Rattus norvegicus: one gene and its partners. The protein of the gene in region 4 purifies or fractionates together with the protein of the main gene of each other region. This does not show direct contact. Links are inferred from orthologs where the notes say so. Each region holds a gene or a part of one and is shown on either strand. Other genes may lie near its edges. The genes, in order: Hhex, Angel1, Eif3b, Eif4e and Eif4a1.

Evidence for each region.
Region 1: the proteins of Eif4e (region 4) and Hhex purify together in Homo sapiens (affinity purification with western blotting; 3 studies listed by BioGRID and IntAct, with this or other methods). This does not show direct contact. The link is inferred for Rattus norvegicus from reciprocal best matches to the Homo sapiens genes EIF4E and HHEX.
Region 2: the proteins of Eif4e (region 4) and Angel1 purify together in Homo sapiens (affinity purification with mass spectrometry; 3 studies listed by BioGRID and IntAct, counting the BioPlex papers as one, with this or other methods). This does not show direct contact. The link is inferred for Rattus norvegicus from reciprocal best matches to the Homo sapiens genes EIF4E and ANGEL1.
Region 3: the proteins of Eif4e (region 4) and Eif3b purify together in Homo sapiens (affinity purification with western blotting; 5 studies listed by BioGRID and IntAct, with this or other methods). This does not show direct contact. The link is inferred for Rattus norvegicus from reciprocal best matches to the Homo sapiens genes EIF4E and EIF3B.
Region 5: the proteins of Eif4e (region 4) and Eif4a1 purify together in Homo sapiens (affinity purification with mass spectrometry; 8 studies listed by BioGRID and IntAct, counting the BioPlex papers as one, with this or other methods). This does not show direct contact. The link is inferred for Rattus norvegicus from reciprocal best matches to the Homo sapiens genes EIF4E and EIF4A1.

The regions. Positions count from the first base shown.
Region 1 is NC_086019.1:244,600,459-244,606,843, reverse strand, and holds the start of Hhex (hematopoietically-expressed homeobox protein HHEX), read right to left. Parts: upstream 3,900-6,385; 5' UTR 3,889-3,899; coding exon 3,525-3,888; intron 1,575-3,524; coding exon 1,396-1,574; intron 1,205-1,395; coding exon 1,154-1,204; intron 1-1,153. UniProt on the Homo sapiens protein: Recognizes the DNA sequence 5'-ATTAA-3'. Transcriptional repressor. Activator of WNT-mediated transcription in conjunction with CTNNB1.
Region 2 is NC_086024.1:112,080,775-112,086,442, forward strand, and holds part of Angel1 (protein angel homolog 1), read right to left. Parts: intron 4,092-5,668; coding exon 4,022-4,091; intron 2,028-4,021; coding exon 1,864-2,027; intron 1,184-1,863; coding exon 1,023-1,183; 3' UTR 1-1,022.
Region 3 is NC_086030.1:19,313,091-19,318,758, forward strand, and holds part of Eif3b (eukaryotic translation initiation factor 3 subunit B), read right to left. Parts: intron 4,010-5,668; coding exon 3,937-4,009; intron 2,856-3,936; coding exon 2,733-2,855; intron 1,436-2,732; coding exon 1,357-1,435; intron 782-1,356; coding exon 643-781; intron 1-642.
Region 4 is NC_086020.1:229,738,135-229,744,602, forward strand, and holds the start of Eif4e (eukaryotic translation initiation factor 4E), read left to right. Parts: upstream 1-2,618; 5' UTR 2,619-2,631; coding exon 2,632-2,649; intron 2,650-3,051; exon of another isoform or gene 3,052-3,123; intron 3,124-6,468. UniProt on the Homo sapiens protein: Acts in the cytoplasm to initiate and regulate protein synthesis and is required in the nucleus for export of a subset of mRNAs from the nucleus to the cytoplasm which promotes processes such as RNA capping, processing and splicing.
Region 5 is NC_086028.1:54,881,818-54,886,995, forward strand, and holds the end of Eif4a1 (eukaryotic initiation factor 4A-I), read right to left. Parts: coding exon 5,129-5,178; intron 4,788-5,128; coding exon 4,648-4,787; intron 4,258-4,647; exon of another isoform or gene 4,115-4,257; intron 3,612-4,114; coding exon 3,443-3,611; intron 3,362-3,442; exon of another isoform or gene 3,220-3,361; intron 3,122-3,219; coding exon 3,012-3,121; intron 2,922-3,011; coding exon 2,778-2,921; intron 2,702-2,777; coding exon 2,564-2,701; intron 2,479-2,563; coding exon 2,389-2,478; intron 2,349-2,388; exon of another isoform or gene 2,206-2,348; intron 2,147-2,205; coding exon 2,067-2,146; intron 1,956-2,066; coding exon 1,811-1,955; 3' UTR 1,276-1,810; downstream 1-1,275. Other genes in the region: Cd68 (macrosialin precursor), read right to left, coding at 6-451, 534-576. UniProt on the Homo sapiens protein: ATP-dependent RNA helicase which is a subunit of the eIF4F complex involved in cap recognition and is required for mRNA binding to ribosome.

The DNA of each region.
Region 1 (6,385 bases), on a different chromosome or scaffold from region 4:
AAAAGAGTTTGCAATTTGCTTAAAATCTAGGCAAGATTTCCTGGAAGGAATGTTTTTCCATATTACACAGAAAGCACTATTTTAAAAGTCCTTGGGAAACTACTTCAAGCCAAGTCCAGCCAGTGGCTTTTAAGGCATGTAGATGTCTGATCTGGATGTAAGTATTACACAGAAACCCTATCATTCTCTAGTCACCAAGTTTGCAAAAGATGTACAAGGTTAGAGAGAGGGAATCCTCAAATATTTAAGAACAGTGAAGCTACAGGAAGCTATTTTGTTGTTTCAAAATGTTCTTTTGGGACAGCATTTTTTTTTTTAAGAAAAATTTAAAAGTAGGAGCAATAGTTTACAATTCACATTAAAACCTCCCCATTACCAAGTTATTTTGTTTCAAAGTATTCTGTTATTTAAAGCACTGCCAGGTGAACCATTCAGCAGTTGTCAGGTGACTCTGGAAATGTCCAGACTGGGACAGCAAGAGCAAATCTTTAGCTCTAAGTCAATAGGGCTGCTCTGGAGGGGGACTTGGCCTTTCCTCTCTATTCCCTATTTCTTAACAAGGTCATCGAAAGATTATCAGGAAGTTTAAGTTACTTTCCAATCGGGTGAGGGCATTTCTTCCTGCGTTTCATATTCGTTTTTTTAAGAGCTGGCCCAGGATGGGTAATAACTTTGAAAACTCTTTTGATATTTAAGTCTTCTTTCTTAAAAAGTGCAAACAGGGCTTAACAGTGTTTGTGTCTTTATATTTACCCTTGAGTCCTGCCTGGTTTTATTATGGGTGTGTAAATAAAAGAAACAATTTTCTCCCAAAGATAACTACTTAAGTCATTTACTGTCAATTACTTTATCTTTCCTGCGTTAATGAGATAAACAACATATGGGGTTTATAAAACAATTAGCCGGGCGGTTTGCTGGCCGGTGTGTGAAACCCTGGCATAATGGATATAGGAACTGCATTAGGTGCTTTTAGCATTAGTGACACCTGAGCGACTCATCCTGGATTTCAGCAGGAGTATTTGCTTTTTTAATCAAGGTGAAGAGGTTAAATAGTCTCTCAAATGACTTTTGCATACAACCCGTAACAGGCCTCCGCATTTAGATAACACCGACACAAACATTTATTTCCATAGAAACAGAGCCACGTCCATACCTGCTTCAGTCGTCTCCATTTAGCTCTGCGATTCTGAAACCAGGTTTTGACCTACAGAAAAGAAAGCAGATTTGCAAGAAAGTCCCAAATCCTGAGGGACCTAGGAAGAAGGGACCTGGGCTATGGGGCCGTGCAGCTGGGTTGTGGTATACTGCGGCGCCCACAGCGCAATGACTTTAATGACTTTCTCGCTAGCTGGTGTGTTTGGGGGTGGGGAGTGAGGGTGTGGGGGAGCGTCTGACCTGTCTCTCGCTGAGCTGCAACATCTTGGCCAGACGCTTTCTCTCAGGTGGGGAGAGGTATTTCTGAGTCTCGAACTTCTTCTCCAGCTCGATGGTCTGGTCGTTGGAAAACCTCACTTGACCGCCTTTCCTTTTGTGCAGAGGTCGCTGTAGGAAGGGGTTCCAGAGCAAGGGCTTGCCTGTGGGCCAGAAAAGCTGTGGTGAACCAAGGCCCTAGGTCCCTCTGTACGGTTCCCCGACCTACATGGTCCCCAGTGACACAATGGGGAGGCAAGAAAGCGGACATTAAAATACGGATCCTTTCCACACTACTCTCCACCAATGCGCACAGTCAGCTAAACTCTTCTGCCTCACAGATCACCTCTGGATACTCAAGACACGCACTAGCCGCCCAACACACCTGTGGCTAAATGCAAACAAATCTTTTCAACCCCCAAAGAACCCCTGCCGGGCTTAAACCTTATCTTATTTAACCGAACGGACTCTTCTGTATGCACTAACATTTGCAAAAGACGCACTGTGTGCATTTAGGAGAGGAGCAGGGTTGTTACACTTCCCAGGGCCTGGCTGCACAGAAGCGCTCGGAGGGCGCCGGTGTTAGGCCTCGAGTGGGGCCTCCGATGTGGCTCGAGCGCGCCCCGGCCTCCTCTGATTTCACACTCAGCCTGCGGGGGCGGCCAGTTAAAGCCACCCCATGGGCTATGGCAACATTTCCGTCAATGTGTTTCCTGTTGGTCTGTCTCAAAAAAAAAAAAAAAAAAAAGCTTTGCTTCCTTCTGCTCAGGCCTAGCAGAAACCCAAGGAAACCAGGGCGAGCTACGTGAAACCGTTTGCCCGGGACCGGTCCTGCCCCAGAGGGTACAGAGTTGGGGGTGGTCACACACACTCTACATGCTGACATTTTTAAATACAAAATTTACGTACAAAAACAAACAAACAAAAATACCCACACCCCAAATCCCTGTAGCGGTGAGAAGAGAGGAGCGCTGGAGGCTGCTCTTAATAATGCGGACACTAAAATGCCAATTCATTAAAATATTAATTGTCTCGGAGTCCCCGGTTAAGCTGCCAAACTGTTGAGTTTAAACTTTAGCGAGCCCGGTTCTTATTCACTCTAGAGCCCGCTCGCTGGCTACGAGGGACTGAGGCCCTGAACCCAGTCACCGTTGCTTATCTATTTTTTAGGAATATTGTGGGGACAAGCCTCAAAAATCCCATGTAGTCAATGTGTAGAGTCCTATCTGTTTGGGATCTGCACCTTCCTACTCCAGAGTGATGATGGTACGTTTGTCTGTCCGTCCGTCCGTCTCTCTGTCCGCAGGCCTACACCTAAACATTTTGAAAGCTGGCATTGTTTTTTCGAGATTTTGCTTGCGTCAGGCTTCAGACTTGGTGCAAAACAGCCTCCAAAGATGGGGGGCGGGGGGAGCCAGAGAGGAAGCAACTGGTTATTTTAGCTGCCATATAGTCACATCCCACACAGAGGAAATGAACAATATCTGAAAAACGGATCCTGGCTATCAGACGTCGAGTGTTTCCTGAATTTGTCTGTATTGAGGATGTCGATAAAATAATCAGCAGCGTGCACTACTCCGGGGGAAGGGTCTGCTTCATGCAGCCAGGAAAACACTTAACAGCTTCAGAAACCAGATTTACTCCTATCGAGAACTCAAGATTTCCTGTATGAACGGAAAGGGTCAGGCTCCTTCACTGCACAAGCTTGTTGAACCAAGCCCAGCCCAGGAACCGCCCGGGCCGGCAGCTCTCCCTGCCCTGCAGGGGCCAGGCTCCGGGCGTCCCGACGTCCTCTTCCCAGTGCTGCTCCCTAAGGGAACCCCTCCCGGGGCCCACACGAGTGGCCAGGGCCGCCCTCCACCACTTTCCCGAGAGCCCCAGGTCTCTCCCGACTACGCTTGCCCCGATGTCTGCAAGGTGCAAGAAAAGCAATCTGAGTCGCCGAGCGGTCCCAGCACCGGCTGCGCGCCACCGGGGCCCCGCGCCTTCTGTCCCCGCGCGCGCCCGCCAGAGCGCTCACCGCAACTTTCGACTGCGCCTCCCGTCCGCCCCCGTCGCCTCCCGCCGGGAGCGCCTTCCTCACGGACGCCCTCGCTCAACCCCGGCCGCCTTACCCAGGGGGTCGTGGCGGAGTAGGGCGTGCGTGTAGTCGTTCACCGTCCGCGGGAACGGGTACAGAGGGCCTCCGAAGCCACCGGGGCCATAGGCAGCGGCCAGCGCGGCGGCGGGGTGATGCGAGAAGGCGGGGTGGACCGGCGTGGGCTCGTACACCGGGGTCCGGTAGGAGGACACGAGGCTGGTGAAGGAGGAGTTGGGGGACGGCAGCGTGGGAGTGGGCGTGGGAGCGGCGGGCCCGCGACCCAGGATGTCGTCGATGTAGAAAGGCGTCGGGTGAGCGGGCTGCAGCAGCGGCGTGGGCGCGTACAGCGGGACTCCGACGGCGGGCGCAGCCGCGGGCCCCGGGTGCGGGAACTGCATGGCTGCTCCGCAGCCCCTCGGAGAGAGCTGCCCGCCCGCGCGGCCGCGCTACATTTATTTGCGCTCTGCGCTCCCGGCGATAGGCTCTGGCCGCCGCGGGGTGGGGCCGCACTCGGTCCCTTCCTGCCGCCAGGCCCTGCGGCCAATGGCGCGGGCCTCGGACTCGCCTCCGCCCCCGCCCTGACCCGCCCCCGCCGGCCCAGCTCCCGCCCCCGAGACGCACGGGCCGCGGAGCTCTAGGGACCCTCCGCCCCGGGGCTCCTCCGCCGCCCGCGCTCCCAGAGGCTCCAGGCACCTAGTGTGCGACTGCGACCGTCGAAGAGAACACATGGTATGCACTGGAGGCGCGGATCCCAGCGGGATGGCGCCACTGCCGACACTCGGGAGGCCTCTGGCACCTGGAGAAGCGATGGGACTTTGCGGATCAGGGAGCCGCGGGCAGGACGGCACCTTCGGGCGCCTGGGACATCTCCCAGGAGGCTGCGCTTGGGGTAACGGTGGCACTGTCTCGAACGGGGGGGCCTCCGCAGCTCGGAGCTCCAAGGAGAAGACCCTAGCCGCTGTCTGCGTCCCAGACGGGTACTGACAGCGAGACTGCAGGTGCTCCAGACTCTATTTGGGGACCCCCCTAACTCGACCACCTCCCTAGATGCTAACAGAATCTGCTCCAGACCGGTTTTAAGACAGCGTCTGGTGCAGGACCGAGGCTATGCAGTGTTCTTCGATCCAATGGGGTGTGGGAGGCTCCTGGACCTCTGTCCCCCGGCCCTGAAGGACGCAGCTGCACGCAGCCGGGCTCTGAGGTTTTACACGTGTTTTCTATTCAAAGCCGTGGCTCGCTGCTCAGTGTGTCCTCGACTCTGCGGCTTGCTCGCCTCTGGGCCAAAGGGGCATTTTCTTGATTGACGCCCTCCTGTGGTGACCACACCTCGAGTTGGGCAGTTTCAGCTAAGGTCTTCTATTAATAGAAAAACTCTGACATTTTTGTTTTTTCAATTGAGATATTAAGTTTTATCTTTTGGAATTATATCTTCATCTGCAATGGGACTGAAGGTGAAAGAGAAAACTGGTAGCCAGAGGACCAGGATTTCACTTCGCGCATTATTTACTTGAGCACCTACTGTGCGTCATTAGCAAATGAGAGAGGCGGTCTCTGCCCTAGTGGAAGCCGGAAACGAACACAGTAACCTACATACTAGGGAGAAATCATGTGTTAGGGTCGGAAACCTTAAGGAACTCCGGCCCTTCATTTCGGATAAAGGAGAGAGTCACTTTGAGAAAGGAAAAGTCTTCTCAAAGGAAATGATGTTTGAAAGATAAGTAGGTGTCAAGGAGCCTAAGATGAGGCCAAGTCAGAGGAGTGCTTGAGTGCAGTCTCAGGTCAGTTTACTGCCCTGGGCTTTCTCACCTGACCCGTTTGGGACTTGACATAAAGGTTCCTAACTGCTTGGGGATGGAGTCACGGACATCTTTCAGAATAATGACAGGCAAAAGCCACTAGCACAGACAAACCAAATGAGTGCCAAGCGTTGTTATTTGAATTAAAACCTTGGGGCCTAATAAGGATATATATCCGTGTGTCCACTCTTCTATGTGAACCATAGGAGGAAAACACGATTAATTTCACACCGCACCCGCCATGAAGAAGAGGGGGCAGGGCTGGAAAGACAGTAAACTGAATAGCTGGAGAACTAAACCTTGTGAGGTTTCTGGTGAGGGCAAAAACATCTTGCTTGAAGGGGCTCCAAGAAGTGGGCAAACTCCCGGTTATTTAAGCTTTCAAAAATACATCCTCGTTGAGGTGCTAGCTCGGTAACCTGAGCTTCGATCCACGGAAGACATGATGGAAGGGAGAAGGGATTCCACAGTACAAAATATTAGTTGGGAAGAACATGCAGGTTCCTGTCGTGCTATAGTTTTATCTGCATGGTAGCTTTCAAAGTTTCCAGTATTAAAAACTGGAAAAGAAGAAGTCCATGGCACATCATACACAGTAGCGAAGCTTAGAAAACACGAAGTAAATGGTACTATCTTGGCACTCAGTGAACTCAAGTGAAATAAAGGAGTGGTGGGTGGGAAAGCCGGAGGAATGCCAGAAAAATATAAAACATTTGAGGCCAGTGAGGTGGCTCAGCCCCTGGGAGATAGTCTCTCTAATGCTGCAAACACAAGGACTCAGGCTTCCTACTGGGGGCCTGGGGGAGGGAAAGAGACAGAGAGACTTCCACTGTAGCACCATGGCTGGAGTGCCCCCAAACACGCACCAAACACAGTAATAAATAGTTACTTTCTAAGGTAGGAAGTTTTATTGGTTCAGGAAAGACTCATTAGGCACACAGGTGTTGAGTGAAATGTTGAAGAGATGAGGATTCTGGCAAGTTCTTACAGAATTAACACAACTCATTGAGTTTGGGGCAAAAATCAGAATAAATATGAATTGTACATAGATGGGAATATTTCACTGGTACTATGTTAGGTGTAATTTTGGTCTTGGGAG
Region 2 (5,668 bases), on a different chromosome or scaffold from region 4:
AGTTCTTAGACCTAGTGTGCCCAAAGCCAGGCTTCTGTTGAGATGTTTTGGCCTGAGCTAAACAGCACGCTTCTCCGGAGAGAAAATGGAAGGGAACAAGAGGGGGTGGGGGTGGGTGGGGAGAAGAAGCAAAGAAACTTTCTTAGGTGCACAGAGGTCAGAGGTCAAGCCCTCTGGGGCTCCAGTGCTGGCTAAGGCTGTAGAGCCTCCTGCTCTTTCTACCGGGCTCCGCCTCTTACCCAGTTCCTCAGTCTGGTGAGACAACAGTTCCCTGAAGGTGGAGTCTCCTCATCCTTAAAGCCTCCCAGCACTGTGCCAGCCCAGCGAGCCCCAGCACAAGGCATCAACCGCCTTCCTCAAGGAAGTCAGTGAGGAGATCAGAGGTGTGGGGTATCCCTGGGCTACCGCTCCAGGCTGTGGGCCAGTTTGTCTCCAGAAATAACAAGTGTGCCCAGGATGCCTAGATGACTGACTGGGAGAAAAGGGCCCCTGCTTGCTGCCTCCTGGCAGCACACAGCTACTACATCATGCTCTCCACCTGCCCCTAGTCCAGTACCTCATGGTGGCACATGGACTAGGCAGAAGCAGGCTTGGCTGTGCTGGGCAGTCCCACCCCAAGAGAACTCATGCTTTACACACACCTTGCATGTGCATGCCAGAGCCCAGAGGTCATGAAAGGAAGGGGAAGGTTGGGTCAGAGGGTGCCACCAAGAAATGGCCTAAAGCGAATAACCAATGAGATCAATAACTCCCGCAACCCTGGTCATTAAAAATCAATGGGGGGGAAGGGGGCGCTGGGTACACAGAAGAAAGGGGATGCTCTCTACCTCTCCCGGGGCCACCTAGCATGTGGCACAGGATTAGGAAGAGGTTGGGGCAGGGCAGGGACCACAGGCCGAGAACGTGGACAGGCCTGGAGAAAGTCTAACCACGGGCAGGAGGGAACAAGGGAAGGGGCATAAGTTTCCACAGCACGGGGCATTTGCAGTCGTCGGTCCAGTGAGCTCTTTCCCTGGGGGCCCTCATGGGGCAGTGACTTCCATGCCGAAGCTGGCAAGCAAGCAGAGATGGTCTGAAGAGTAGAACGGGTTGGGCAAGCCATTGGCCGCCCAGAGAATCTCTTCAGAGAGGAGGGAGAGGCGGCCCAGGAGCTTGAGGGTTCCATCTCGATCCAACCTGTGATCTGGGGCACAAAGCAGAAGCCAGTAGGTGCAGCAGCCACCAGCTGTACTGCATGGTGGAACTTTCACTTTAAATTAAATGGTCTACACAACACACGCACACATGCGCTCACGCACACACGCACAACATCTGGCATTCTGACTAGAAGGTTTCCCTGTGATAACATCAGTGAATAAAGACAGGTACAGGGACACAGGAACAAATAGGATACAGGTAGGTCCTGCACCTAACATTACAAGGTTTTTGATTTTTCAAGAGGTACAGAAATATAGATTCCTTATATAAAACGATTCTAAACAGGCAATTAATTCAAACATTCTAAAAATAATAAGCAAACTAGGCATGGGACTAGTGAACTGCTCATTGTGACTACTGGCAAGAAAAAACAGGGTCTGACCTTACCAAGTCCCTCCCCGACTTCTGCCCTTAGACAAGTCTAATTACGTCTCATGCTATACTTCTATCTCCATGGTGGAACTAGGAATGACTTCCCTGCCCTAGCCCTGGCACCCCAGGAAAAGAGCAGCACGTAAGGTAGGTAGCCTGCATAAAGAATGAGCACAAAGCTGGTATGACATCTGCTCCTGGAGCCCAAGCCAAGCCACCAAAACCCAACCTGCCATCTGCTATTCCCAGGCATCCTGGGGTGGCTTCTAGAAACCCCTGACTCAATGGTCTTACCACTTCTGTTCTCATTCTCACAGGACTCAGCTGAGAAAAAAATGTAATCCACTGTCATCCCAAGACCTAAGGGCATCGTCGTGACCTCCGGGCGGCCGTGCTGGGGCAGGAAATGGGTATATACTGAGGTCAGGTGGAGGCAGTGCTGGATGGTGCCTATAGTCCTACAGGGACAGAAGGTAAGAAGTCAGCTAACAAAACACATTATATTTCCCACCGGCCAATTTCTCCGTGGGTTTTATGGAGATTTTTTTAAAGGATAATCTCTAATGATGGTTTCAGATGCTGCTGACACCCAACAATGTATAGCTGGGTTATAGTCCTTGAAAGGAAGTTCTGTATAGCTGTGTAGGTTATGAAGATAAAGTCTGAGTTTCCCTGGAGACCCCAGGTATGGTACTTGGAATGAGAATGCCCCCATAGACTCATGTTTGAATGCGTTGTCCCTAGTTAGTGGAACTGTCTGAGAAGGATTAGGAGGTGTGGCCTTCTCAAAGGTAGTGTGTCACTGGGGGTGGGCTTTGAAGTTTCAAAAGCCCACAATAGGCTCAGCCACTCAGTGTCTCCCAACCCCCACCCCGTGTGTGTGTGTGTGTGTGTGTGTGTGTGTATCTATCTCTGTCTCCTCTCCTTCTCTCTTCTCTTCCTCTCACCCCTCTTTCTCACCTCTCTCACCCACCTCTCTGCCTGCTGCCTGCGGATCAAAATGTAAGCTCTCAGCTACTGCTGCCTCCCTGTGCATGTCTGCCACCATGCTCTCCGCCATGATGGCCATGAACTCATCCTCTGAAAGTGTAAGCCACCCCCAACTGAATGCTTTCTTTTAAAATCTGCCTTGGTCATGTTTCATCACAGCAACAGAGCAGTAACTAAGATAGCAGGACCTTTAGAGATGACTCATGGAACGTTCACCAAGGGAAGCCGGATGAATGGAACAGAGCTGGCCCAAAGGAGAAACAACGTGTGCTGCAGGCAGCAGAGCTGGAGGTGGGGTTACCCAAGTCTTTTGGACTCCAGATGATTCTATCATGAGCCCTAGATGCCAACATGGAGCTGCACTTAGTGTTTTCCCTGCTGGGTCCTAGTCCTTTGGAAGGGGAGTGTTTACTCTGTGTCATTCTATGTTGGAAATACGTAACTTCTTTTGTTGTTGTTGTTGTTGTTGTTGTTGTTGTTGTTGTTGTTGTTGTTTGGGTTTTGTTTTGCTTCACCTTTGCTTTTAGTTTTTGTTTTGTTTTTGTTGTTTTGAGACTATGTAGCCCTAGCTGGCCTAGACGTCATTATGTAGGCCAGGCTGATTTTAAACTCACAGAGATGAGTGCCGTGATGAAAGATGTATGCCTCCACATCCAACTTCCCTTTTACTATACAGGGGCTTGCTTACATTTAAGAGATTTCCTGAGTCTCCTCACCTACAATTTTAAATAGTGTTGGAATTGCTAGACATGGGAACTTATGATGTTGGGCTGAATACATTTGCCTCATGAACCTGTCATGAACCCATGGGAACATGGAGAACAAAGATTTGGCTTAGAAGTGATGTGGTTAGCCGAGGGGTAGAGCTGCAATGGTTTATGTTGTCAACCTGACAGGATTTTAGAGTCACCCCTGGGCATGCCTGTGGGGAATTACATAGACTGAGACAGGAAGACCAAATGAGTGGCACTCTTCCACAGGCAGAGGTCTTGGTCTTAACAAAAGGAGAAAGCAAGCAAAGCCTTGACATTCACTATGGCTTTGTATCTGTATCTGTACGGCTTTGTTCTCCCTTGTGACCTTTTATCACAGCAACAGGAAAATCAATACATTATTCAACCAGCAGATTCCTTCCCATATTAATAAGCGGCTGGCGATCTCAGCTGAACTCAGTCTAGAAACAGATGAACACTGAGACCCTGATACTCCTCATCCCCACTTCCCATTCTCCTGATAAAGAACACCAATGTCTCTCATGTGGACCAGCAGGACCAGCAAGTTTGCTCAGAGGCTTCTCCCTCAAGGAAAGGCTATACAGGCTTTTCACCTTGACTCTCGCATGCATGCATGTGCTGTCTAAGCATACCGTGGAAGACTGAGAGCTTAGCAAAAAGTATTCCAGTCAGCCTCAGTATAGCCAGTGCTCTCTCATGCTCAGACTAAAAACTGCAAACACGTTTACCTGGGGAAGACAGGCTCAAGTTCAGATATCTCTTCCTCAAAGATACACTCGGCCCAACCAGCAGGTCGATCTGTAGGAAGCCAGAAAAAAGAGGTGGGGATTTGTTTTCCATAGACAGTACAACAGAGTCAGAACCTTTCACCTTCAGATCCCTCTCAGTCTGCACTGCTCCAGGAGTTTGGGAGGAGGGAAGGTAAAAGAAACAGTCATGAGACGGGGAGATGAACCAAGGCTGGAAACCTGAGGCCCCTAATACTCTGCACTTTTTACGTATGCATAGTCATATGGTTCAAAAATCAAAACAAAGTTAATCAGTCAAGAGTCCTTCCACTCACCCCTTGCATTTCATTTTTCTTGTACAGGGACAACCAATGCTATCAAATTCCTTATACTTTCCTCTAGATATTTTCTATCACACACCATCCACTGTGTAGTACATATATAGACACACATGTTCATACACACAGCTATGTTGTATATACATTCATAAAGAAAATACAAATGCCAACATCAGAAAAAAACAAGGTATTTTACAAATCTCACTATCCTAGTCCAGTTTCTATTGCTGTGATACACACCAGAATGGACAGTAACTTGGGGAGAAGAGGGGTTTTGGCTTACGTACTCCATCACTGAGGGAAGTCAGGGCAGGGACTCAAGACAGGAAACTTCGAGTAAGAACTGAAGCAGAAGCCACGGAGGGGTGCTGCTTACTGGTTTGCTCAGCCTGCTTTCCTATATAATCCAGGACCACCTGCCCAGGGGTGGCACCACCCACAACAGGCTGGGCCCTCCCACACCAACCATTCATCATACACGCCTCACCCCAAGGCTTCCTACAGGAGTGGGAACTTTTTCACAACTGAGGTCCCCACATTCCAGATGACCCTATCTTTTGTTTAGGTGACAACCAGCACATTTGCTGATATTAATAAAATAACAAGGGTTGACACTGACAAATTCTTAGCAATCAAATTACTAAACTCAAGCATGGAGGAGGGCCTCAGCTGGGCCTCAGTGTAAAGTACAGAGCCCAGAATTTAAAGGGGGGGGCAATGAGTTGATTTGTCATTTATAATCTATAGGGAAAAAAATCTGTAAGCTAACACTATAAACTATACAAACAGATTACAGGGAGATGGCTCAGTGGGTAATGGTACTTAGTACCAAGCCTGACAACCAGAGATCCCAGGAACCCACAGGGTAGAGAGAACTGACTCCCATAAATGGTCTCTGACCTCCATACATTTTATGACAGTGAAACTATCACAAAGCTATCTAGACAGCCTGGTCTGCATAGCTAGCACCAGGCCAGCTACCACCGACGTGAGACTCTGTCTCAAAATGGTAAACAAACTTTAATTCTAGCACTCAGAAGGCAGAGGGAGATAGATCTCAAAGTTCAAGGCCAGCCTGGTCTACAGAGTGAGTTCCTAGACAGCCAGTGCTACACAGAGAAACCCTGTCTCAGAGAAAAAAAAAAAAGCCAGCCAAACAAAAAGTAAATAAAGGAAAAAGTTAAAAATATATAATTTACATAAAGTGAAAAAAAACCCTAGAGAGACACAAGCGAATGTAAACTTAAGAAACAGCAAATTTGATTAAGCCTATAACAAATAGAGACTGAATCAGCAAGGAGAGCCCAGA
Region 3 (5,668 bases), on a different chromosome or scaffold from region 4:
ACTCAAACGCTGGGCTCCCTGCTGCCAACCCGCTCTTTAGGAGTTGTGTGAACTAAATGGCCCAGTCCCACACGGGCTTGGAAGACTCTCACTTCCTTCCCTCCCCTTTTATGGAGGTGGGAGATGCTGGGGTAGAACCCAGGCAGCTGCTATGCACTGACATTCCCAGTCCTACAAGATGCTAAATTAAACAAGTGTTGGGATGGGCTGTGCTGCACTGGCACTTGGGATGGGTTCCAGACAGCACACCCTGGAATGAACGAACACAGAGAGTGCTATGCCAGATACTACTCAAAGCCATCTGGCAAGCAAGAGGTCATCTCATCAGCTGGAGCCCTCTGAGCTCACAGGTTTTGTTTGCATGGACTGGCTCAATTGTCCACCCAATGGTAAACACAGGAGGCAGTGACCCATGCTCCAGCAGGCCCTGCCAAGCAGACATGCCCAATGCTCTAGCAGCTGGCCTCTCAGCAGTGAGTTTGAGAAACAGTGGACCAAACTGTCTCCCTAAGCCACAAAAGTTCGTGAGTAATGCCCTCTCACCCTGGGGTCCCTGGATACAACAATCCTACAGAAAACAGTATCTGTCCCTGGCCCTGAGAGACTTCATTCCCCAAGGGCCCAGCACCTGCCATCGTCTACCTTATGGCTCCACCACGACACAGAGGTAACCACATAGCGGCCAGTTGGGTCCCATTCGACGTCGGAGGCCATGTAGTGCTCTGCAATGTTCATGACGGTGCAGTCTGAAGTGTCGACAAACGCCAAGGCGCCATTCATGCTGTGGGATGACAGGGCAGCTGTATCCCACAATCCCCTTGCACCCTACTGAGAGGTCCAATGCCCCTCACTCCAACTGAGTTACAAGGGTGAGAAAGGACCAAGGGCTCTGCTGGGCTGAAGTTAGTTCCCTGGGCCCTATCGCCCTCACAGTGACAAATTTCCCAAGGACATGAATGGTGTACTCAGTGCTCTGTGGCGTCTAGAGAAGATGTTGTGTGTGGAAGCGTCCATGGTGGGAGCAAGCCACAGTAGTCCTTCCCAGCAGAGGGCAGGGCTGGACTTGCTCACTACTCCTATGTGCTCAGCTGGAATGCAGGGGAACAAGTGAAAGGCACCCCAACCAGAGGGCAGGACAGCCTCCAGCTATGCATCTGTCCCACTGGAAGACGTGGGATTCACAGGAGGGGTGCACGGCTACGATCACAGAGGACATGTCATCTGCAAGTCACTACTTCAATCAGCCTGGTTTGGCCAGAGGCTTGGCTGTGATAAATATCTAGTGAGATGATGCACTCCACCAACACAAACCATCAGGAGCAGGACGCTGCCTTAGCGGGCAGGGCCCCAACCCACCTCCTCAGCCCGGCCAGTACCACGAACTGCCCCTGGGGACTCCAGAAGATGGTATTGGCTTGCTGCTTGTCAAACATCTCTGCAAGGAAAATAAGTTCCTGTGAGGGACTGTGCCGGTGCCTCTCCAGCTAAGACACAGTGCCACACTGGTGAGGAGAGCTGACAGAAGCAGAGTGCACATACGACTCCAACACAAACCCACCAGCCACTTTGGGAGAACTATTTCAAAATCATACCCCCGCCCCCGTTCAGTTATGCCTAAAGTCATGATGCATGCTTCTGGGTGGTGGCTGCTGGCTATTACAGAAGTCTGGTGGATACTATTTTCAGCTTCACAGGCAAAGACTGCACTGACAGCAAATACACTGACTCATCTCGGGAGCCCTTAGTGTCCACCAACAGCACCATGGGCCAAGCTACCAAAATCACCATCTTTCAGTGTGCTTACAGAACATCAAGCAAACCATCTTCCCAGTCACCCTGACCCTGGGTGAAACTGACAAAGCAAATGCGGCAATAACCCAGGTCACCCAAAGCCTCTCTCAGTCTTGGCAAAACAGCCATCTTCCCATATGGGGGGTGGGGAGGGGAGAGTCTCACATTCACAGAGAGCTGCAGGACAAATGTCCCATCTGGCCCCAAAGCACAGAGGAGCATTGACTGTGACCCTGGTGAGAGCTGAATCACAGAGATCCGGGGGATAAATGACACGTCTCCTGGTGTCTGTTATAATGGGACAGAAACCTTTTGATTGTCTGCAATTGTCCACCTCTTACATATCCAAGAGAACCAACACCAGAGTGGACTTTACAACACACTAGCTAATTCTGTCACAAATGGTTAGACCCAGGTGAAGGGAAAGCACACTGTTCACAGAAGTCCAAGGAAACCATGGTATGACTGCTACAGCAGAGGGAACAGGGTAGCTGGTGTCCTATAAAGAACTTATGAAATACAGCCTGTATTTCCATCCCAGTGAGGGCAACACTGTGGGTTTAGGTTCAGCTTGCCCTAAGCCCTAACCCTGCTGTGGGGCTGTCACAACAAAGACAAGAAGAGTAGGCAGTAGCCCTTTGGGAGTCTAAGCAAGGCCACACGTGGCCCCCATGCCAAAGGGGAGTGTCTTTTAGGTGAGCCCTGCTGCAGGAAAGGGAATGAGAACACCCCTTCCTGCCGGAGCCGAGCAGAGGACTCAAGGGCTAAGCCAGGCTGAAGGGCAGGGGCAGTAAGGCCCAACTTACTGACTCACTCCAGGCTCGGTGGATATGAAGTATGTGCCCCCTGTCCTGAGTCATCCCAACCTGCTATCATCTCCCGCACAGCTAGAATCCCGGCCCCTGAGCTCTGCAGAGAGAGGCCAAGGGCAGACTACTCACTGATGAGTTCAATCTTCCCATTGCTCTTCACGTGGTAGAAGGAGACAGATATCCGAGGGGCCTCACCATGAAGCACAGCAAACTTACTGCCATTGGGTTCCCAGGCAAAGGCTATGATGGTCTCTACAACCAGCAGGAAAGAGGAGTCAGTTGTCCTAATCTTTCATAACAAAATCTCCATTTTCAAAGATCTTCATTCAATTGGAGAAAAGCACTCCTAATCTACTGGCAGGACCACAGATCAAAAGACAGCAAAAGCAAAGAGAAGTCAGCAGAGTTCAAAAGCACTTGGTTTATCTGGTTGGGATGTTGTGTTAATAACAAGTCCAAGCCAGCCTAGAACTTGGACTGTTCCAGCCCTGGCTTCCTGCAATCTATGATCACAGGCAGGTGCCACCAAACTGTCTTTCCTTAACTGACTTAAGGACTTAACAACTTAGCTGTGGTCTTCTATAGTGAAACAAACTGAAAGCCAATGAGAGGCACAGGCACTAAGACTAAGGATGGAACTAACATATGAGTAAAAGTACATCAACCTTTATGTTGCTGGGCGGTGGTGGTGCTTGCCTTTAATCCCAACACTTTGGAGGTGAAGGCAGGTGGATCTCTATGAATTCCAGGTACCAAAGAATACATAGTGAGATCCTGTCTCAAAATACCCCACTTAAAAAAGAAATACTTTTATTTTTTCCAGAGAGAAAAAGGGAAGGCAGGCCAAGCCTGGTGGCACAGGCTTACAATTCCAATACTCGAGAGGCCAAGGCAGAAAGATTGGTGTTCAAGAGCAGATGGGCATAGAACGAATATATTTCAGACACAAACAAAATCAGTCAAAAATACAACCAGCAGGGGTTGGGGATTTAGCTCAGTGGTAGAGCGCTTGCCTAGCAAGCGCAAGGCCCTGGGTTCGGTCCTCAGCTCCAAAAAAAAAAAAAACCAAAAAACAAAAAAACAAAAATACAACCAGCAAGAAGCTCTTCAAGGTAACTCCAGGCATGGTGTGCCCCTGTAGCCCTATAATGGGCAGGAAGGCAGGCAGGAGGGTCCTGTGGCTAGCCAACCTAACCTATGTGCAGATCTAACCTAGGTCAGGGTGATCTGGGGTAGCTGCTCTTGCTGAGATCCCACTTCAGTACGCCGCTCTGAACACCTATCTCACATAGAAGCTGTACAAGACAAGGGCACGACGGCCCTTCCTGCTTACCTTTCATCTCAACAACGTCAACAGGAACCTGCTTCTCCCTCATTCGGAAGATTTCAAAATTTGTGACAACTCCCTGTTGACAAAAGCAAAACAGGAAGGGTAATTCTCTGGAAGGTGAAGGCATGAAAATATGGGGGTACAAATAATGATCAGACAGAAGACAGCACTCACTCACCAGCACACCCACAACCCTGATGTGGTGCCGAGGCTGGTATGACAGCATAGCCCAAGCACACTCTGCAGCACATCTACCGGAGTTTACCAGAGGGAACGATGGATTTGCACACTGTAGAGCAACCTGCACCATGACCTTCAAAAGCACTAAACCCAGCAGCAGACTCAGTAACTACTCGCCCACCTTAATGCCAGCCCACTAACATGTGGATGCATGTGTGTGCTGGAATACCAGTCAACTATGAAAAAGAATAGAATGAAATGCTGATGCATGCTACAATATAAAAAAAGGTGAGGTCTGGGGCTGGGGATTTAGCTCAGTGGTAGAGCGCTTGCCTAGGAAGCGCAAGACCCTGGGTTTGGTCCCCAGCTCTGAAAAAAAAAAAAAAGAACCAAAAAAAAAAAAAATAAAAAAAAAAAAAGAAGAAGAAAAAAGGTGAGGTCAGAGAGGCTGGACACGAAGGGTCACAGGCTGCAGGGGAATGTTCCTAACAGAGACACCCAGAGAAAGCAAACCAGAGGCTGTCGGGAGTGAGGAGAGGAGAAGGATGGAGGCATAGCTCAATAGAACATTTGACCAGCAATCAGGGGGTTGTCTGAATGACACCGGCATAGGGACAAAAAATAGAAGGGTGGACCAAGGAGCAGTGTGGAAAGGAGAGGCAGCTTAGCATGCCTGTGTGACCTACTAAACATATCCAAAGTCAGGGAGACGGCTCGCCACTTAAAAGCATTTTGGTATATGAATTACATCTTGAGAACAATTAGTTGGGACAGGCTTGGTAGTGCGTGCCTGTGATACAGCACTCGAGGCTAAAGCAAGAGAATCACTGAGTTCAAGAATACCCAGAACCAAAGGCCAAGACCCTGTCAGAGTCAAGACCCGTCAGCAGTCAAGAGTGCTGACTGCTCTTCCAGAGGTCCTGAGTTCAATTCCCACAACCACATGGTGTCTCACAACCATCTGTAATGGGATCCAATGCCCTCTTCTGGTGTCTGAAGACAGCTACAGTGTACTCATTTATAAATAAATCCTTTTAGAAAAGGAAAAGCTTGGGTGTCACTGTGTATTCCTGGATAGTCTGGAATTTGCTATACAAACCAAATTGGTCTTAAACTTGGAGATCTGACTGCCTCTGCCTCCTGAGTGCTAGGGTTAAAGTCATGCACACCATCCCTAGACACTGTTTTTTGGATGAGAAAAACATAAAATTACATAAACAGAAGCACATTTGTATGCAGAAATGTGAAGTCCACCTGATTACCAGGAAAGCAATCTATCCCTTTCAGCTTCTAGTATGAGTGGCTGAGAATCTGAGGATGACACTACTGTATTTTCCCGTGAGCTCAGAACTACATGAAGTGATCAACCCTTAAGGCGGTAAGAAGACAGGATTGAAAGTCCTCCAAGTTCTAGTAAAGTGCTATGTCCAGATTGAGAGTCTCACATCATTATCTAGACATAGCTCACAGCCTCTCAAAAACCATGAATTAGAATTCCACACCCACACCCAGAATCTCAAACACATAGCAGTCTTGCGTTTGGCAGTGCTTGCCC
Region 4 (6,468 bases):
ATAAAATCTAGCCTCCAGATATTTGACAGGATGAAATCCTAAGTGTCGACACTAGGCAAACACATCTGAAATGGTAAAAATAGTCAATAAATCACATACAGATATAGAGATCAATTAAACTATATAGAATGGGGCATACTATGAAAGCACACATCTTTTTGTGGGGCACAGGGGTACTGGGAATTGCATCCAGTCTTAAGCAAACTAGGCAAACATTCTACCCCTGAGTTACACACCCTAGCCCAAAATATGAGTCTTCAGTAACAATAGAGGAGGAAGGTTGAAAAAAAAAAAACAATACAAACAAATGTTATTTAAAACAAAAATTTTATATTGGTGGCTTTCAGGCTCGTCAGGATATTTTCTTGCCAATGGATTGGTTTTTGCTGTAATCTTGCAGCTCAAAACAGGATATTTATGCTGTCTTTTCCTTTCTTTGGATAGAGATTCTCCTGTTTCTTTGGCTGGCCTGGAACTTGGCATGTCACTGAGTTTAAACTCCGGATCCTCCAGCAAGCTGGGTTTATGTGGTGTTGTGGGATCTAAAACAGGGCTCTGGGCTATATGAGTACTCTATCAACGGAGCTACAAATCAGCCTCCTAGTGCTGTCTTTTCATAGGAATTAACCAGACATCACTTTACAGACAACAGAAAATAAGGGGTCAATTGTAATCACTTCGGTTAGTGTAACAGATTTGTACAGAGAAATTCACCTATGTTTAGTTTGCAGAACTGTGTCAACTTTAGAATCTACTCCTGCTGACTAAGCAAAAGCTTTCGTGTAAATCGCTTCTGCCATCCTGGTAAACAAAAAAACACAGAGCCCCGCAGTGGCTCTGAGTTCTTACACAGCCTCAATTATGTGTTAGTCAACCCAAGCATCCATTATGTACTCAATAATAGTTAATAGCTGTGACACAGCTCGGGACAACACTAATGCCATGGAGAGGCCGGCGCAGAGATAGCCTGCTTTTCCTGGTGGTAACATTCTTAAGCTTCCTGGAAACAGCTACGAGATCCTGTCTTCCTCATTAGAACCTTTACTCAACACGGTCTTGGTCTTGAGAAACGATGGCCCAGTAACTTAGAAGAAAATGTGGCATGCCAGTGTAGGGGCAAATTTCTGCTTGTTAGAAGTTGTTATGAACATAATTTCATGAACATGAAGTTTCTGTTGGGAGCAGCGACATTCGTAAAGAAAAGCAAAGTCTTGAAACTTTAAAACTGCATTGGTGTACGTAACAAAGTAAACAAAAGAAAAATTTAAAACATTGTTAAGGGTTGGGGATATAACTCAGTTGGTAGAGTGCTTATTTAGCACTCCGAAGCCCCGAGTTCCATCCCTCTCAGCAAAAAAGGGCTCTCCCCGCCCCCACTACCAGCACGTGCCAGTAATCCCAGTACTTTGACAGGGAGGTGGAGGCAGGAGGATCAACAGTTCAAGACCATCCTCCCCTACATCTTAAGTTCAAAGCCACCGTGCGCTACAGGAGACCCAGGGTCAAGAAAAAAAATTGTTAAAACAGCAGCGGAGGCGGAGGCAGCCGGTGCTTAGAAGGCACGCGCTTGCTTCTAGATTCCGAAGCGTTTTCAAAGCTGGTTACAGTCCTTACCACAGCACACCCTTGTGAGGTAAGTGTATTATCATCTTTGGTTCATAAATGAAAAAGCTGAGGCGCTGAGTGATTAAGTCACTCGCCTAAGGAGCATGAGTCAACGTCAAGAGTCATAGTTGACCCGGCTTAACGACTCCTGACCCTCAGTCCAGGGCTGAGTCAGCGGAGCCCGGAGTGGCTTCCCTGGCTGGCACCTGGACGTAGGCTATTTCCGTTCACGTCCAAGCAGAATACTGGAACCGATTGGACAGAACTTTCCAAACTTTTTACGTCCAGCAAGATTCACCCCTGACGCCTTCATCTCAGGACTGGGAACAGGAAAAGCCGACGCGTGCACTCCCCTTCCCCAAGCGTGTGAGTGGGTACCGTGGGCAAGCCCGCCCACCCGCTTGGGCAGCGATGGCAGCAAGGGACCACCCGCGTTAGTGGACCGGGGACGGGGGAACGCAGACCTCATCAACGACTCTCCATCGCCGCCTCTTTCTGAAACCAAGAGAAAATGGTGGGAGGCGAAAAGAAAACTAAATAAAAACACAAGCAACTTGTCTTAGGACCTCAGCTAAGCAAATGAAGCCTTCTTGCGTGTGCTGAGCCTGCAGTTCTCAACCTTCTAGGAAAGATGGGAGGACTGGGCGACAGAGGGCACAGCAGGAATGCCCAGCAGTGAGAGCAACCGGAGCTCTGCCCGCTGCACCGCAGAGGCCTAAAACCTACTCTGCAGGAAGTGCGGGCGGCGCTGGGAGCCGCGCACCCTCGCCAGCGACCACGTGATCACTTTTTTTTTTTTTTGGGAGAAAAAACTTCCTTGCCTTAAGAGAAAAAAAAAAAAAAAAAAAGAGACTCCACTTCCCAGAAGCCTCTTGTTCCCCAAGCAGCTGCAGTCTTGCGCAGGCGCCGCCAGGGCCAAACGGACACGTCCGTCACGTGGGCAGGAGCCGGCCAATCCGGTTTGAATCTCATTTTTTTCCTCTCGCCCCCCCTTCAGGAGCGGTTGTGCGATCAGATCGATCTAAGATGGCGACTGTGGAACCGGTGAGTATTGCCTTCGGCCCCCACCCCCGAGGTCCCCGCGCTCTGGCTTCCTCCGCTCAGGGACTGTCCGCAGGACGGCGTTCCCGGCGCGCACAGCGCCTCCGGCCGCGTCCTGCCCCTTTCCCACCGGCCTGACCTTCCGCGGGCAGCCTCGGCGCCGGGAGGCTGGCGGCGGCAGCGTGGAGCGCACACGCCGTGTGGGGGCCCGGGCACCGGGTCGGTGGGGGAGGGGCGCCGCGCGGCCCTGCGGTGCGGCCGGCGGAGGGCGGCTCGGGCCGCCAGCGCGGGATCGGTCTGGGGTCCCGGTGGGCGTGGGGCGGGCGGCTCCTAGCGGGCACCGTGGTTGGCGGGGCGGGTGGGCGGCGAGCTGGCCTGAAAGAGTCAGAGGGAGCCTGAGGCAGCGGCGCCTCGCCGTCGCCCGCGCCCCGCCGCCGGGGTCCTCGTGCGGGCCGCGCTCTCAAGCTGTGGAGGAGGGTGGGTTGGCGGAGCCGGTGGGCGCGCGGGGCCGGGCGGGCGGGGCGCGGCAAGAAGGGGAGCGCGTCCCGCGGGGAGCTGGGGGCTGTGGCGTTGAGTGGAGAGCACGCCCAGGGGTCGTGTCGCGCACCTCCGGGGGCCGGGGAAGGGGGCCGGCCGAGAAGGTGATCACATTGTCCTGGCCCCTCCACGCCGGGACTGGGCTGTCATGGAGGAGGGAAGGGGGAGGAGCGAGGCCTACAGTTCGCTCCAGCGGGTCGGCTGGCCGTAGACCTGCATTTCACACGCGCCGGGCTTCCATTCATTCATCCTCCCGGCGCAGTGCGCACGCCTCCGAGGACCGTGTAGATTCTTCTACTCTTACGCGAGGAGATCGTCTGGGAGATACTCAAGGAACACTAATTTTGGAAATAGGAACTTTGGAGATTATCTTTTCTTTAATTAAAGGAAGGAAAATTAAGCGTGGGGGCAGCGGCGCGAGCCAGGGCTTGAGTGTGAAGGTCAGAGGGCAGCTTTTGGAGTCCTGAGAATCGAAATTCAGGAGCCTTTTCCGAACCATCACTTAAGCGCCTCAACATCTGCTTTTCCACTGATGATTCCTCCTCACTCTACACTGCTTCCCTCTTAATTAAAGCGCTATTTTGAAGTTAATTGAAGCAAGATGCACAGAGAGCATCACGTAGGTAAACCCGGTAGCCAGAAGGTGGTGATTTTTTTTGTTGTTGTTTTTGTTGTGGTTTGGGTTTGCCGGCAGCTGGCTCACTGGTCTTCCATCCCAGATTTTTAAAGAATGTCACACCTGTGTGATAAAAATCTCAGGTGCAAAAAGGCATAGACTAGCAACCAGAAACCTTTGTATACCACCTTTGCCAGATATTTTTAAAACTCACCCATAGACTGAATAATTTTGATTAGTTTGCAAAACAGCCTTATCTTGGCAGAATTCAAGACTACTTTTTTGTGGGTGGAGGCATGATTTACTTGTTCCTTATTGACATCAGCTTTCCTGCATTTTGCAAAGCTGCCTAATAAGTTGTTAGTGAAATTAACTAACTTTAGAATATCAATGTAAGAACAGGAGGGGAAGCATTTAAATTTAACTTAAACTCTTGACAAGTTCTGCCGTCTACTTCTGACTGAATCTTCTACCTTTCTCTACCAGTATTAGAGGAAAATATTACAGGTAATAATAGAGGCAAAACTAAAAAGACCTAAGTAATAAAACAGCAGTGTGAACTATGACTCTCAGTTCCATTTAAGTCTTGGATTGTGCTAAAGCCACAATGTAGTCATTGGATTTTGTTCTGAGTCAGCTCAGAGTTGCTGATACCTTTTGGGTGGTTACCAAGTGATATTTAGAATACAAAGTTATATAAAATGCGGTCTGTGCTTTGTGAGCTCTTATGGAGCCTAACTGCCAGTGTCAGGCTCAGAGGTGAGATACTCTTCCTACTGATGACCCTGTTGATGTGCATAGTGTGTGTAAATTTAAGGACAAGAGAAGCCTAGAAGCCTAACATGTGAAGGGTGGAACTTGGGTTGAAACTAGTTGGAGACAGTGTGCAAAGTGACACTGAGGTGCTCATTTTCTGTTTACTGTTAGCACACCCTTGCTTAGAGGCTAGTCATACAGTATTTTAATATTTGTAAGATTTTTTTTTGGAGCTGGGCGGTGGCTGCGGGCTACTTTCATCCCAGCACTAGGGAGACAGAGGCATTTCTTTGAGTTTGAGCCCAGCTTGTTCTACAGAGCTAGTTCCAGGATTCCCTCCAAACTGAAAAGATTTGGTTTGGATGCTTGATTTGTAGCTCAGGACCTGGTGCATTTACTAAGTTTATTCTAGCACTAAACTACACCAGTACGTTGTTTTTGAAGTACTTTATTCAGAGGCTTGGCAGAAAGGTTGTATGTAGAAGCCCACGTTGTCTGCTGTCCTGTGCAGGGCAGACCTTAGAGGTATCCCCATGGCTTAGAGCACACTAGTACTTTTTAAAAACAGATGATTTAGTCTACTATTGGATTACAGTTGAAGCTTGTAAAAATTAAAAATCTTATTTGGTCATTGCTATTTTTATTTAGCTTATGAGCTTTTGTGAGTTTTTTGTTTGTTTTGGTAGAGTATTTAATTGTAAACACTTAGAACACTGGTTCTCAACCTGTGGGGTGTGACCCTTTCGGGGGGGGGGGTGTCTAAGGACTGAGCTGCCTAAGACCACCAGAAAATACAGATATTTACATTGATTCATAACAATAGCAAAATTAGTTAGAAAGTAGCAGTGAAAATGGTTTTATTGTATTGGGACCACTATAACATGAGGAACTGCATTAAAGGGTCACAGCTTTAGGAGGGTTGAGAACCACTGACTTGGAGAGTCATGAGCTGTTGATTTTTCTCCCCCTACATATCCAACCTTTTGTAAGCACTTGCCAGATTTTTAGTCTATGGAGTTTCCATAAAGTAATTTTCAATTTGATGCTACATGGTTTTAAGTATTCGAGCTTAGTTATGTAAGTAATGGGTTACAAATATAAATTGAGAAGTTCAAAGGGGAACATTAAGGGAAGTACATTGCTCCACAGAACTTGTGGCAAAGGCTACACTCATGTTAAGCTGGGAATTGTGGCACGGTCAAGATTAGACTCTGGTAAAACTGTCCTCAGCCATGTTTCTAGTGACTCGTGCTTCTTTTAGATAGCTCGCTTTTCTTCTGCTCTGTTTTTCCTTGTTATTAGAGAATACTTTACATTAGTCTTTAATTAGAGGATAATTTCTTGTGGTTTTTACTTTTGGGTTTGTGTAGCCATTGTTGGCTTGGAACTTACTATTTATTTGGACCAGACTGGTTAGCCAAAAATTTGAGGTGGGGGTGGGAGTTCTTCCTATACTTTCTCAGTGTTGGGATTTACAGGTATACAGCACCACACCTAGTCCAGATAGTTCTTTCTTTTTCTTTTCTTTTTTTTTTTCCGGAGCTGGGGACCGAACCCAGGGCCTTGCGCATGCTAGGCAAGCGCTCTACCACTGAGCTAAATCCCCAACCCCCAGATAGTTCTTTCTTTATGCTTAGAAACCTGCTTTTAAAATAAGACTTAAAACACAAGAGAAGCCTGCTGTGGTCGTGCACACCTGAAATCTGAGCACTCAAGAGTAGAGGCAACAGAATTTTGAATTTTGCTTAGCCTACAGCAAATAAAATTGAGCACAAAAAGGTCCAGTGAGATAGATGGCTTAGGGGTAAAGATGTTTGTTGCCAAGCCTGAGGATCTGAGTTGGAGTGCTAGAACCCTCATGGTGCAAATAGGACCTCTTGTAAAGTTGTTCTCTGACCTCCAGGTCCACACCA
Region 5 (5,178 bases), on a different chromosome or scaffold from region 4:
TTTACCTTTTTTCCACCCTGGGTCAGGTACAAGATGCGAATTTGAATTTGGGCTTGGAGCTGAACACATGGCTGGGAACCATTAGTCCATGTGTAGTTTCCAAGAGCCCCAGTAGAGCTTGGACTAGGACTTGGTGAGGGCGGAGGTGGTCCAGGGTGAGGGCCAACAGTGGAGAAGCCTGGACTGTTTGTGGTGGGAGAAACTGTGGCATTCCCATGACTGGTGGTGGTGGGCCTGTGGCTGGTGGTGGTGGGCCTGTGGCTGGTGGTGGTGGGCCTGTGGCTGGTGGTGGTGGGCCTGTGGCTGGTTGTGGTGGGCCTGTGGCTGGTTGTGGTGGGCCTGTGGGTGGTCGTAGGGCTTGCTGTGCTTCCGGTGGTTGTAGGTGTCTCCGTGAAGGATGGCAGAAGAGTAGCAGCCTTTTTGTGAGGACAGTCTTTCCCTGTTCCTTGGGCTTTCATTAAGAGATTAGTTGATAACCCAGGTGCCGGCTCCTGCCCAGGAGCTCCCTCTCTCCCACCTCCCATTCTCCTTACCTACAAGCAGTACCAGCAAGGTCAGACACACAGGGAACCTCATGGTAGAGCTGCTGAGTCCAGCTAGGCTGTAACAGCTCCTTCCTCAACCCAATCCCCTCTTCTCTTGGAAGAGGAAATGAAAACTCTTACTTCCCTTAACCAAAGTAATCCCACCCCAAACCTGACTCAGGCACCTCAGCTCTAGCCACCCGCTAAAGTAATTTAAATGTTTTCACAATTAAGCACTGATTGGTAGTGGCCTTCTCAGTGGGCGGTAGTCTTAGTTACCATGTGAGGATGAGGCAGTTGACTCACACGGAACTTACCTAAGCCAAAACTTGCTCTACTTGGCAGTTTACAAAGCAGGCAAACAGGAAGCCTTTTCCTCATTGGTAAGAAATTCACCCTCACCCATGTGCTTCAATCCCAGCACTGTAAGGCAGCAAGCAGACCCAAAAGGCCAGTTTGGCCTATATAACCGCAGGACAGCAAGGGCTACAGAACCCAAGGTAATTAGCACCCACATTTGGGTTATGACTAACACCCAGTTGAAGTCTTTGAACCCATTACTACTTTTTCAAAACTGGGAGCAAGTGACACTTGTGTCTTGTGCTAAAGCCCACTACCAAATTTCAGTAGTGTGGGTCATTTGGTATTTCAGGAAGCAACATGGCAAATTCAGGAAAGAACTAGTGCAGGGGCAGCTGAACCACACTAGTAACTGCAGGAGAGGGAAGGGAAGAAACAAGAAGCCCAAACAGGCAGTTTCCAAGTAATTTTATTCAGAATTTTGTGTTTGTTTCCTGAATCAATAAATACTATACAAAACAATGTAAAAATGGCTACCATTTTCTCTCCCCTGCTCCCCTCACCTGGGGACAAGTCCCTGGACAACCTCATTCAGGGGGTTCTCCCTGTAGATTTGGTCCAGCAAATGAGGCCAGCCATGTTTTAGCCCCTTGACTCACTTTTGGAGATTTGGCTGGGGTAGGAAAGCCTTTAGGAATGAGGTGATTAGGTTAGGGAAATGCATTAGTGTTTGGGGGGGAAGGAGACGGCGCCTGGGGCAGAGCCTACCCCAAAGAAAAGGGTGTCTAAAATGTTCACGGTTCCTTCTTTTTGCCTCAAAAAGTGACATTTATTCAAAGAGAGAGAGAGAGAGAAAAAAAAAACAAAACAAAAAAACAAAAACAAGATGTCCATCCCTTGGCTCCCTTCCCTCCCCCCTCCAGCTGTTCCTCAGCCCTGCCCCCAGGACTGAACCCTGGGCTAGGGCCAGGTAGCAGGACAGCCCCTCAAATGAGGTCAGCAACGTTGAGGGGCATCTCTTCAATGGAGGTGTTGTAGAAAGTCTCAATGTCTCGAAGAGTCCTCTTGTCTTCTTCTGTCACCATGTTAATAGCCACACCTTTCCGGCCAAACCGACCACCTCGACCAATTCTGGGGGGGGGGGGGGGAGGTTAGTTTAAAAAGGCGTTAGGTTGGGGAAAGGAACGTGTTTTTTTTTTTTTAAGCACAGGGAGTGTTTGATCTGTCAGACCAGGTAAATACCTGTGGATGTAGTTTTCCCTGTTGGTGGGAAGGTCATAATTGATGACTAGGGAGACCTGCTGCACATCAATGCCTCTGGCCTAGGTCAAGAAAGAATAAAGCCATCAGAGGACACTATCAACCCTAATTTAGTAAGCATATATGTAGGCTGCCAAAGGAGGGCAAAGGAAACAAGTATTCCTTGTTCCCCAGAGACCTTGGACATGCCTGGCTTTCTTCCAAGTTGCTACGTTCCTAAAAAGGGCACATAGTCAGCCCTTTGGAGAGGGAATCACCTTGGGCTATTTTCTCCCTTTCTTTCCTTAAAAGAGCATCTACTCACCAACAGGTCAGTGGTAATTAATACTCTGCTAGAGCCAGACCGGAACTCCCTCATGATCACGTCTCGTTCCTTTTGGTCCATATCTCCATGCTGGAAAACAAGGTTAGGAGCAGCTAGCATAAGGCTCCTAACACACAAAGACACATCTATCATTAACAAGACTGAGAAAACTCACCATGGCAGAAACTGTGAAATCCCGGGCATGCATCTTCTCAGTGAGCCAGTCCACCTTCCTTCTGGTATTAATAAAGATTACTGCCTGGGTGATGGTCAGTGTTTCATACAAGTCACACAATGTGTCGAGCTTCCACTCCTGGAGATCAGGAAACATCAATCAGGAGCTATACCCAACACTTATTACCAGGCCCGCCTCCTGCACTGGGCCCCACCTCTCGTTCCACATTGATGTAGAATTGGCGGATACCCTCCAGGGTCAACTCTTCCTTCTTGACAAGAATCCGAATAGGGTCTCTCATGAACTTCTTAGTCACCTCAAGGACATCAGAAGGCATTGTGGCAGACAGCAAAACTACCTAGTGGGAAAAATGCCCCAGCCATGATTGAGTGCACTGTACAATCAAATCACAACCGAGCCACCGTCCCTCCAACACCATCTGTTTTACCTGTGTGTTGCTGTTGAGCTTTTGGAATATATCATAGATCTGATCCTTGAACCCACGGCTTAGCATTTCATCTGCTTCATCCAGGACGAACATCTTGATGTATTTGGGTGCTAGATGGCAGGAAAAAAAAAACCCCAACATATAGTAATCAGACAAATGTGAAATATATTGAGGTCTCTTGATAAGGCAGGCAGAAGGCAGACAGTCTGCTCTCAGAATGCAAGGACTGATCCTTTGCCCTCGGCTTCCCTGATAGGTCATGCAAAAGCCCTGGTAAGTAGAACACTACCTGGGCTAAGGTTAACAGGGAAGCCAGGCTCAGATGACACGCATGGGGTTCATCACAGAGCAACTCAATTCCAACTAAAGGAAAACTCATCCAAGGAAATGAAATGTAGAAAAGAGCCCAACAACTGTTCCATGGCACTCACACAGGTATCTCCGGTTAAGCATATCGAACACCCGGCCAGGGGTGCCCACGATGATATGGGGAGCTTCCATTTGCAGCTTCTGCACCTCAGCACGCACGTTGGTGCCCCCAATACAGGCATGACAAGAGGCACCCATGTAGTCTCCCAGTGCCATAACCACCTTTTGAATCTAAATGTAGAAAGGCATCTACATTAACTTGGGCAGTACCAGTGAGTTAAGTCTTTCTTATTACAGACAGGAATTATCCCACTCTTAGCAACTGAGAAACAGGAATCCACTTAATCCTCTTCCAACACCACCAATACCGCCACCAAATGGCAATGCTGGATCCGTCCACACAGGTTCACAGTAAGTTTCCCACTCTACATGCAGCCTCATAAAAACCAGGCCAGCTCTACAAACAACTCACACTACATCCTACTACTCCATTCCAAAGGCTGAGATTATGAACACAGCCCTATCTATACCCACAAGGTGATTATTCCATCCCTGCTACAGAACCAAGACTTAGTGATCCATGCTGAGCTCATAAGCAAACCCCCAAAATAAGTAGATCTACAGGGTTCTAAGGTGTCAATCCTCTTATCACGTCTTGCTTACATTGCTACCCAGATGCTTGCTTCAGTGATCACTAGGCTTGAAATAGTAGTTAACAGACTAGCACCAGGATTTCATGTGCCCTAGGCATGAAACAGCTTTGGCCACCAAGCCAGGCATCAAGCTAGGATGAACAAAGGCCTACATCTGCTCTGCCCCTGACTGATATAGGAACAACACCACCAACATGGTGTCTCCTTGCCCATGTCCAGGGGGTGGTATGTTTGTTGTAAACACAGTTTAACCTGCCCAGCCAGCTAGATTCTAACAATACTCTTCCCTTCCTTATTTGACTCAGAAAATGGATTTAAAGTGCTTTTTTTTCCTGGTAGAAAAGTTGTTAGTAATTAGGCAAACCAATCTCAATAGATCTAGAAGCTGTCAACAAATCCCAGTGGCATACAAGAGCGTACCTGACCTGATCTTCTAATTGTCTCTTTAAGACAAGCTTTCTCTAAGTGTTGGCTGTCCTGGAACTAGTTTTGTAGACCAGACTGGCCTTAAAATTGAAGTGCTCCACATGCCTGGGTCACCAGTATCATCACCACTGGCAGACTCTTCTTGAACTCTTAAAGCAGTCATATAGAATTGGAAACACCAATCTTACCTGCTGAGCCAATTCACGAGTGGGTGCCAGAACCAAAGCCTGAGTGGCCTTTAGATCTAATTCAATCTGCTGCAGAATGGATATGGCAAATGTAGCTGTTTTCCCAGTCCCAGACTGGGCTTGAGCAATCACATCATAACCTACAACCAGATCAAGAGTTAGATGTGTAAAAAGTCTGCACCTTAGGCTCAGAGGACACCTGTGAGACTTCCTGACATCAGTAATGGAACAAGGCTGGTGCCATCTACCAGAACATTATGAACTCAAACACAGCTGGCTAGGTTAGACATAAAGCAATAATAAAGGCCTCGAATTGGAAATGGCAACCCCCTCTAAGGCATGACAAAATAAAACCCCAGAACCAAGAAGCTAGGAAAGGTAATTTGTTGTCCCCCCAACCCCCATTGCTATGCCCACCACCAACCCCATACACACTATGCAGATCAGGACAGTCCATATCTAGCCTGATAATGAGTCTTACCCTTGATACAAGGAAGAATAGCTCGCTGCTGGATGGCAGAGGGCTTCTCA